Oryctolagus cuniculus: one gene and its partners. The protein of the gene in region 1 interacts with the protein of each later gene in a biochemical or structural test. Links are inferred from orthologs where the notes say so. Each region holds a gene or a part of one and is shown on either strand. Other genes may lie near its edges.

Region 1 (3,500 bases):
ACACTTTCGACCTGCAGCTAGCAGAGTGGTGGATGCAGAACCCGCAGACAGGGGGGGACCGTGTGTGTGAACCCAGAAGTTAAGATGGGAAGAGTCCTAACGCAGGAACCAGGATGTGGCATTCAAGTTCCAAGTCGTGACTAGGATGTGTGTGACCTCAAAGACAAAAGTCGCTGATCTCCAGCGTTCTGTGACTGCTTAATTCATAAAGTTACACACTTTGATATTCTTCTTACTCATTTGCTCCCTTGCCATTCAATCTGTCTAGTATTGACAAATAAGTTATTTCAAGTTTTGGTCTTCCTACTAAAACAGCTTCCTAACATGAAAATATGTACAACTGCTAGACACTGAATGTAAGTTTGCTATATGTATTTCTTTTGCTATTAACACTGTAAATGTTAACATTTAGATCTATTTGTTCATGCATTTTACATGCAAATTGGAAAGAAACCTCTCTACTAGTCTATCAATCCAGCTGGACAGAATTCACAGTACAAATTTAATAATCATAAGAAATTAGCCAGGAGACAGCTGTCCTGTCAGGACATACTGTGCACTAAGAAGACAGCAACCGTCCACTCATCCCCAGCCTGGCCTGGGCAGGGGCTTCTGCACGCTTTCTTTTTTGAAGTCTGTACTCATTTCTTCTGAATAAGCACCAAAAATTCTCCATGCTTACCAGCATGTGATTCTTGGACTTCCCCCACTGGCTCACCATGTCAGACACAAAACAAAGTCAAGTTTATCTCATACTTTACCTCTTTTCCGGATCTTTTTGAAGGCACAATGAAATCATTTTTCTAAATGATTTTCCATATTTTTTCAGCATTTCTTTATCTTGAACACCAGTTTCCAAAGACGGAGGATCATTCTGCAGCGTCAGCATTAAAACCTGTAAGAATTTACAATACAGTATAAAGTTCCAGCGACTCAATAAAGTTTAATTAACAACTGTGGACAAGAGTTTTCAAAACAGGCGATCACCACCACAGACAAGCAGATCCGATTTTCTAAAAGTTCACATCTAGGTGAGTCATTTAAATCCAGAGTTATTTATGTGTCTTCCTATATAAATAAAATATTACAGATAACTGGCGTCCCAGACCACCTTTTTTTTTTTTTTTTAAGATTTATTTATTTGAAAGTCAGAGTTACACAGAGAGAAGGAGAGGCAGAGAGAGAGAGATAGAAGTCTTCCACCTGCTTGTTCATTCCCCAATTAGCTGCAATGGCTGGAGCTGCGCCGACCCGAAGTCAGGAGCCAGGCACTTCCTCCGGGTGTCCCACATGGGTGCAGGGGCCCAAGGACTTGGGCCATCTTCTACTGCCTTCCCAGGCCACAGCAGAGAGCGGGATCAGAAGTGGAGCAGCCCATATGGGACGCCAGCACTGTAGGTGCCAGCTTTACCGGCTACTGCCAAAGCACCGCCCCCCCACTAGCTGTAGGGGCCCACTGTATCAACACTGCTAATGTCCTTGAGTTGGATTCTTTCTTTGTATCCTCAATAAATTCCTATTCTACCAAATCACCTAAAAACACACTAAAACCAGAGCAAGACTAGGAGCACGAGCCCGCCGATCGTGCCTGTCAGGGCCCTGTTTTCACTCCGCGTCTGTGAGATGGTCTTCTTTTCCTATTATTCAGGACCCCTAACAGAAATCACCGGGCCGGCGCTGCGGTACAGCAGGTTAAGCTGCCATCCATCACACGGGCATCCCACAGGGGCGCCGGTTTCAGTCCTGGCTGCTCCACTTCCGATCCAGCTCCCTGCTGTGGCCTGGGAAGGCAGCGGAAGATGGCCCAAGTCCTCGGGCCCTGCACCTTAACTCCTGGCCACAGCCTGGGCCAGCCCTGGCCAGCGCAACGTTTGCTGAGTGAGCCAGTAACCGGAAGATAATTCGCGCTCTCGCGCTCTCTGCCCCTCCCTCTAATTCTGCCTTTCAAATCAATGAATAAATCTTTAAAAACAAAAATCACAAAGAAGTCCTGGTAAACAAAGCCGCAGACCGCAGGTCCACGATCTTGCTGTGCTCTGCAGCGGGTGACACTCTTGACTCCCCTGTGCACCCTAAGTCTTCCCTCTCTGAGCTTCTGGGCAGCATGACAGCCTGGTGCAGAGACACGAGGCCAGGAGCTCACGTGTGTGCAGCAGGATGTGGTGGTGTGTGTCCTTCGGCGCTGTTATGCTGGGGTGGCTTTTGGGGCTCAGTGGAGCTAAGCAGATCCTTGGGACAGCCACAGCCCACACTGACCCTCCTGGGATGGAGTCCTGTCTCACAGTCTGACCTCTACTTCCAGAACCCTTTCATGATTTAAAAAAAAATCACTCCACAAACTAAGAATATAAAGTAACTACCTCAACTTAATAAAAGGCATATAAGAAAATCTCACAGCAAACATTATACTTAGTGGTGAAATACTGAAAGCTTTTATTCTAATCTGTCACTCTGCATTTCAAATGAACCTCTAAAAAAAAAAAAACTATGAAAACAAATATATTCATCAAAAAGCAGGATAGAAAGTTAACACAAAAGTCACTTGTGGGGCCGGCACTATGGCACAGTGGGTAAAGCCACCGCCTGCAGTGCCAGCATCCCATGTGGGTGCCGGTTCAAGTCATCGCTGCTCTACTCCCAATGCAGCTCTCTGCTGTGGCCTGGGAAAGCAGTGGAGGATGGCCCAAGTCCTTGGGCCCCTGCACCCACGTGGGAGACCCTGAGGAAGCTGCTGGCTCCTGGTTCCTGGATCCTGGATTCCGATCAGTGCAGCTCCGGCTGTTGCCGCCAACTGGGGAGTTAACCAATGGAAGAAAGACCTCCCCCCCCACCTTTCTCTCTGCCTCTCCTTCTCATGTAACTCTAACTTTCAGATAAAAAAAAATCTTTAAAAAAAAAAAAAAAAAAAAACACTTGCATTTCTTTACATTAACAATGAAGAACCTGAAAAGGATTTAGAAAAACAATTCCACTTATGTTAACATCAAAAACAATAAAAAATTCAGGAATTAACTAAAGTACTTGTACACTGAAAACTACAAAATATTCATGAAAGAAATTAAAGATGACAAAAACAAATACAAATATACACTATATTTACAGATTCGAAGACAACATCATTACAATGTCAATACCGTCCAAAGCAGTCTACAGATTCCAAGCAAACTGTACCGAAACCCCAGTGACATTTTTAATAGCAACAGAAAAGCTTATCCTAAAATCTAAATGGAATGTCAAAGGACCCAAACAGTTACAACAATCTTGAAAAGAACACAGCTGGAGGACTGGAACTTTAAAACGTAGTACAGGGGCCAGCACTGTGGTATCCTGGGTAAAGCCACTGCCTGCAGCGCTGGCATCCCATACGGGCACCAGTTTGAGTCCCGGCTGCACCACTTCCCATCCCGCTCTGCTGTGGCCTGGGAAAGCAGCAGAAGACGGCCAAGTCCTTGGGGCCCTGCAGCCACGTGGGAGACCTGGAGGAAGCTCCTGGCTCCTGG
Region 2 (3,500 bases), on another chromosome or scaffold:
CAAGCACCTGGGCCATCCTCCACTGCACTCCCTGGCCACAGCAGAGGGCTGGCCTGGAAGAGGGGCAACCGGGACAGAATCCGGCGCCCCGACCGGGACTAGAACCCGGTGTGCCGGCGCCGCTAGGCGGAGGATTAGCCTAGTGAGCCGCGGCGCCGGCTGCAGTATTATTATATATATCATTACCAACATGAAGCTTCAAGAATTTCATTATTGGCACAAATAACTACTCAAGTAAAAGGTAAAAATAGACAAGAAGAGAAATTCACCTATTTGTTGCGGCATGGAAGATACAGGAATTGGTTGTTTGAACTCTCCTTCCAATTTCTACAACAAACAAAAGTGATGACATTCATTCTCAAAAACCATCTCAACAATTAGACAAAGCCAACTGCCACATGTGAAGAGAACATAAATGCTCTTAGTCATAGGCATAATATGATATTATTTGATATATAAATATGCATGCAAATACAGTGCTATGAGAATATTTTAAATTAACAAAGCTTCACTATGGAATGGAAAACCTACCTGAGAACCTGAAAAGCCATAGTCATCCTTTCCTTGAAGACTCTCCAATCCCTGGTCACCCTCTGGTTCCACACTGACATCCTCACTGAGCATTTCATCAGCTTTTTCAATAATTTCTCGCACTTGATCCACAAATGACTCCCTCTCTATTGCTAAAATAAAGTCATTGTTCACCTGTGAAAGAAATGTGATGTCAGTCTGATTAGTGTGACATTTCTTAAGGTTTAAATCATTTAAATACAACTTTCAAAAACTTCTATTTACATATCAATTTTATTATTTACTTAGTGTTAGCTCTTCCCTGTTTAAGAACTTCAGTACCTAGTTAGACATGTCCTAGACAAAATATTTCTAAACCACAAGTTGGGTATGTTAGTTACATTTACATTGGAATAAATATACGACTGACAAGATAAACACAGATTATAAGACACTGCCTATTTGCGCAGAGCAATGGATATTAAGATGAAGTACAAAAGAAAAATTTGGAACACAAATACAGACATACCATAATTGTTGCTATCTCCTCAGGGTTGTCACCATCTAGGTCAAATTTGAAGGTAACCATTTTCCGATTATGAGTCTCTAACTGACATTCTACTACTCGATCTCCTTTATTTGAAACCTAAAAAGGGAAAGGAACTTCATCTCAAAACCATATTCAGGTTTATTACCAAATTTGAGAAAAGTCATCCAGATTAGCAGTTGAATTTAAGCCTCAGGAAGCATGGTGTTATCACTGTTCCTTGGACCACAGTACTTTTGTCTCTTCAACTGGTAACTAGAAAAATCTGAAATGGTATTGGACTTTGAGCTACTCCCTAAAGACTATGGAAGGAATATAAAGATTTCTTTCCTACAAGTTAAAACTCTTTACCCATTTTCTTTTTAGATTTTTGTTTGTTTGAGAGGCAGAGAGAGAGGACAAAAGAGAGAGAGAGAGAGAGAACGAACGAACCTGTCTACTGGCTCTCTTCAAATGCCCACAACAGCTGAAGGACCAATGCTAGGAGCTAGGTACTCAATCCAGGCCTCCTATGTGGGTGGTAGGAACCCAATTACCTGAACCATCACTGTGACCTCTAAAATTCCACTTAGTGCCAAATTCCTTTTTTTTTTAAAGATTTATTTATTTTACTTGAAAGAGTTACACAGGGAGAGGAGAGGCAGAGACAGAGAGAGAGAGAGAGAGAGAGAGAGGTCTTCTACCCAATGGTTCATTCCGCAATTGGCTGCAATGGCTGGAGCTGTGCCGATCCAAAGCCAGGAGCCAAGAATTTCCTCTGGGTCTCCCACGCGGGTGCATGGGCCCAAGGACTTGGACTATCTTCTACTGCTTTCCCAGGCCACAGCAGAGAGCTGGGCAGGAAGTGGAACAGCTGGGTCTCGAACCAGCGTCCATAGGGGATGCCAGCACTTCAGGCCAGGGTGTTAACCTGCTGTGCCACAGCGCCAGGCTGGCAAAATTTGTTTAACAATATGAAGTCCATGAATCAGCAATACTTACATTCAAAATTCTCAATTTTGGGCGTGAAGTCTTTTCATGACGAGATCGACTTCTCACAGATTTTCGATAATGTCGTTTTGTAGTTCTCCCTTCATGCCTTCCACTGGAGGTTGGGACATTCTCATTGCCATCACTCATCCCTGAAGCAACATCTGAATGTGCACTTAAAAAAAAAAAAGCTTTTAATTTCAATATAAGATTTAAAATCTGATATTTATATATATATATTTAAATTTTTAAAAGATTTATTTATTTGAAAGGCAGTTACACACACACACACACACAGAGTGAGAGAGAGAGACAGAGAGACAGAGACAGAGACAGAGAGAGAGAGAGAGAGAGAGAGAGAGAGAGAGAAAGCTCCTTCGTTGCTGGTTCACTCCTCCAATGGCTGTAACAGCCAGGGCTGAACCAGGCTAAAGCCAGGAACCTGGAACTCCATCTGGGTCTTTCACATGGGTACAGGGACTTAAACACTTCAGCTATATTCCACTCCTTTCTCAGGAGCATTAGTAGCAAGGAGCTGGAATAGAAGTGGAGCAGCAGGCCGGCGCCGCGGCTCACTAGGCTAATCCTCCGCCTAGCGGCGCCGGCACACCGGGTTCTACTCCCGGTCGGGGCGCCGGATTCTGTCCCGGTTGCCCCTCTTCCAGGCCAGCTCTCTGCTGTGGCCAGGGAGTGCAGTGGAGGATGGCCCAGGTGCTTGGGCCCTGCACCCCATGGGAGACCAGGAAAAGCACCTGGCTCCTGCCATCGGATCAGCGTGGTGCACCGGCTGCGGCGGCCATTGGAGGGTGAACCAACGGCAAAAAGGAGGAAGACCTTTCTCTCTGTATCTCTCTCTCAACTGTCCACCCTGACTGTCAAAAAAAAAAAAAAAAAAAAAAAAAAAAAAAAAAAAGAAGTGGAGCAGCTGGAACTTCAAACAGCCTGTGCCCATAATGGAATGCCAGCGAAGGTGGCAGCTTAACTTGCTACATGACAATGTCAGTCCCTATTCATTTTTATGTATTTGAAAGAACGAGAGCTAGAGAAAAAAGAAAGAGACAACTTCCATTTGCTGTATCACCCACCAAATGCCTGCGATCTGCTGCCAGGTCAGGCTGAAGCCAAGAGCCAGGAACTCCACCTGTGTCTCCCAGGTGGGTGGCAGGGATTCACAACCTGAATCCCTATCTGTTAACTTCCAGGTGTATTAGCAGGAAGCCAATCAGAAGCAGAGACATGGGACTTGATTGCAGGCGCACCAATATGGGATGCGGATGTACCAACTGGTGGCCTAACCTGCTGTACCACAATGCATACCTCAAAAGTCTGATATTTTGAAGTTTCATACTATTCTACCTACCGGTTGAGGAAGGAGTTTTTAGTTTTACATACCTGTCTATAGAGGAAACCAATGTGGGAGGCTGGGGAGGTTGTGGCTGTGCTACTGGAACTGGTTCTGGAGGAGCAACCTGAG
Region 3 (2,848 bases), on another chromosome or scaffold:
CCCATCGAGTGTGTGGGGGATGAGAGGTGCTGGAAGCTGCCCAGGCCGTGGCTGGGCAGTGGCAGTGCCCCAGGGAGCTGTAAATGTTTAACTACAGTTACTTTTTCTGTGAGATCTTTCTACCTGATTCCAGGGAGCGATCACTAGGCTGTTGGAGACTGAACCAGGACCTGAGGGGTCAGTCTTCCGTCCCCTGCCCACGAGAACACACTTTAGCGTCACTGCCTTTTGCCACCCCGAGAGAGGGGTGGATGAGGGGTAGGGGACAGCAGCCTCCATTCTTTTTTTCGCGGGTACCTGCGTGTCCAGGTAGGATCTGGAGAGGATGTCCACTCAGGCGGGTCACTGACCTTGCTGCGTCCTCTGCCCTGGTGACAGGAAGCCACAAAGCCAGGCAGCTGGCACCCCTGCCTCCCACTGGGAGAGGCCCTTCTGAATCCTCCCCTGGCCTCACCCCACAAGGCTTTGTCCGCCAGCTCCTAAGGCACGGAGAGTCGCAGTCCTTGTTTCCAGCGCTTTTATTGGCTGCTGCTGACTGTGGTGTGCGCACGCCTCTAGTACGCTCCCAGCTGGGAGCGGGCCCTCTACAAGCGGCTGGGCTGGGGTGGGCTTGCTTAGTGGTTGACCCTTGGCTGGGGAGGGAGGGTGGGCTGCAGCAGTGGCACCCCACACACAGCCAGCAGTCTCCCCATGCTTGGCTCTTCGCTGTAATGGAGCTGCCTCCTCCATGCCCCCTGCTTCTACCCCCTCAGCGCTGGGGTCCTCCTTGCTGAGTTGTGTTGATCAGAAAAGCATCAGATTCTGAGAGCACAAGCCCCATGGTGGGCCCTGGAGTGGGGGGACACCTGGCTTCTGCACTGAATTCACTGGAGGGAAAAGAGAGGCCGCTGAGGAGACCTCAGGCTGGGAGGGGCGACGCCGCAGCCAGGCGCTGTGCCCTGGGCTCCCTCCCTCGGGCCCGCCCTCACCAGCCTGCCACTGCCAACATCGACAGCCCCGGCGAATGTCACCCCCTTGCTTGCCCGCTGCTCCTGGGAGCCGGTGCTGCTGCCACTCAGAGAGTTCCTCCGCAAGATGCCTGAGGGCAGGGCGGGGGAGGGAGAGCACTGCGTGAGGGAGGGGGCTAGTCCCCCCAACCAGGGGCAGACCCCCAGGGCCTGAACGAAGAGCGAGCCGCAGGGAAGGAGTCTCAGGAGAAAGGTGGAAGCTGGGCGGCCGCCGTCTCACCAGGGCCCAGGGGCTCGGAGCGCTGCAGGCTGTTGCGGCGGGAGGTGGGGAAGCTGCCCTTGGACAGGCGGCGCTGGCGGCTGGACAGCATGGCGGCCGGAGCCACGATGCCCGGCGGGGGCTGCTTCCCGAGCCGGCTGTACAAGTCCTCAATCTCCTTTTTCTGTACCGTCTGTAGTGCCTCCACCTCGGCCAAGTGCCTGAGGACGCAGCAAGGGGGCATGAGAGGGCTGGCCACACCCTGCTTGCCCAAGGTCGCGCCTCCATCCTCCCGGGAGAGACTCACTTCTGCCGGAGACTCTGCAGCTCGGCCCAGAACTCCTCGTCCTCCCCGCTGCTCTCCGACTCCTCGCTGCTCGGACACAGGCTGCTGTAGGAGCAGTTCATCCACACCGGGCTGGCGTAGCTCAGGGCTGGGGGGCTACCACCAACTCGGGGTTCCTTCCCAAGGTCCCCTTCCTCAGCTCCAGCCCCCAGGCCCTCGGTGGCGCGGTCGCTCTCTGCCAGCGCCTCCCTGGTCTCTGGCCCGCCTGCAGCACTGTCCTCCGTGTCGGAGCTCTCTGAGGTCAGCTGGGGGGTCGGAAGCTGCAGAGGACTGGAGAGAGCTGGGGGGGTGGGTTGCGGCTCAGCTGGTTCTTTGGAGGAAGTCACTTGGAAGCGCCCGACAAGCTGGGGTTTTGCCTCTGCAGGTAGACAGGGCGGGAGGGAGGGAGAGCAGTCAGTGGCGACACAGAGTGGGGTGGGGATGATGGGCAGGGGCAAGTCCGTGGTTGGCGAGGTCTCACCTTCCGAGATGGGCGCCAGTCTCGCTTCACCCAGGAGTGGCCGAGCAGGATTTGGGCAGGCCTGAACAGTGCGGGGCCGTGAGGAAGGAAGCGGTCCAGAATGGAGCCTCCCTCACCCGCCCCCGTGTCCCTACTCACCTCACTCTCTGCCTCTGCCTCTGCAGGGCCCTCCTGGCCATGAGGAGCAGGGGGGAGAGAAGGAGGGGCAGAGGGCAGACTAGGTAAGGGACACGGCAGGGCAGAGGGAGACTGGGACAGGAGGCTGGGTGAGGGGGACAGCAGAGACTGGGCCACAGTCATCACAGCCAGGGAGAAGGCACTTGCCAGAGAGAGGAGGGGGGCGGCAGTAGGGGGGGCCAGGGGAGGCGGGGAGGGGCTGGGAGGGAAGGAATCAGGATTAGAAGTGACTTGGGAGCCACTGGGAGAGAATGGGAGTGCAGCACCAGGTGGGAGGGAGCTCTGGGGAAGTGGGGAGGATGGGGTGGGAAACAGGGGCGCACTGGAGGAAAACGGGAGTGGAGAGCTGGGGGGCTGTGGAGCGGGGCTCGGGGAGACCTGAGAGGCGATGGGGGAGAACAGGGAGAGGCCGGGCTGGCAGAGGGCAGAAGTAATGGGGAAGATGGGACCTGGGAAAATGGGGGTGCCAGGAGACAAGGGGGTGCCAGGAGACAAGGGGGTGTCAGGGGCTGGGAAGGTGGAGAAGGCTGCCCAGCTCCTCTGCTCCGGGGAGGTGCCACTCGGGGGCTCTGCGGAGGAGGAGGGCGTGTTGAGATTCCAGTTAGTTCCCAGGCCCCACGCCCTTCCCAGGAGCACCCCAGGGGCTGGGCTGAGCAGGG

The links.
Region 2: of the proteins of OXSR1 (region 1) and WNK1, one has a biochemical effect on the other in vitro, tested with the Homo sapiens proteins (2 studies listed by BioGRID and IntAct, with this or other methods). The link is inferred for Oryctolagus cuniculus from reciprocal best matches to the Homo sapiens genes OXSR1 and WNK1.
Region 3: the proteins of OXSR1 (region 1) and WNK4 are reported together in a solved structure, tested with the Homo sapiens proteins (2 studies listed by BioGRID and IntAct, with this or other methods). The link is inferred for Oryctolagus cuniculus from reciprocal best matches to the Homo sapiens genes OXSR1 and WNK4.

Annotation. Positions count from the first base shown.
Region 1 is NC_091435.1:174,433,305-174,436,804, forward strand, and holds part of OXSR1 (serine/threonine-protein kinase OSR1), read right to left. Parts: intron 896-3,500; coding exon 762-895; intron 1-761. UniProt on the Homo sapiens protein: Effector serine/threonine-protein kinase component of the WNK-SPAK/OSR1 kinase cascade, which is involved in various processes, such as ion transport, response to hypertonic stress and blood pressure.
Region 2 is NC_091440.1:98,701,308-98,704,807, reverse strand, and holds part of WNK1 (serine/threonine-protein kinase WNK1), read right to left. Parts: coding exon 3,419-3,500; intron 2,202-3,418; coding exon 2,039-2,201; intron 1,157-2,038; coding exon 1,040-1,156; intron 706-1,039; coding exon 532-705; intron 328-531; coding exon 270-327; intron 1-269. UniProt on the Homo sapiens protein: Serine/threonine-protein kinase component of the WNK1-SPAK/OSR1 kinase cascade, which acts as a key regulator of blood pressure and regulatory volume increase by promoting ion influx.
Region 3 is NC_091448.1:20,117,047-20,119,894, forward strand, and holds the end of WNK4 (serine/threonine-protein kinase WNK4), read right to left. Parts: intron 2,759-2,848; coding exon 2,151-2,758; intron 2,074-2,150; coding exon 2,013-2,073; intron 1,911-2,012; coding exon 1,514-1,910; intron 1,428-1,513; coding exon 1,228-1,427; intron 1,079-1,227; coding exon 864-1,078; 3' UTR 501-863; downstream 1-500. UniProt on the Homo sapiens protein: Serine/threonine-protein kinase component of the WNK4-SPAK/OSR1 kinase cascade, which acts as a key regulator of ion transport in the distal nephron and blood pressure.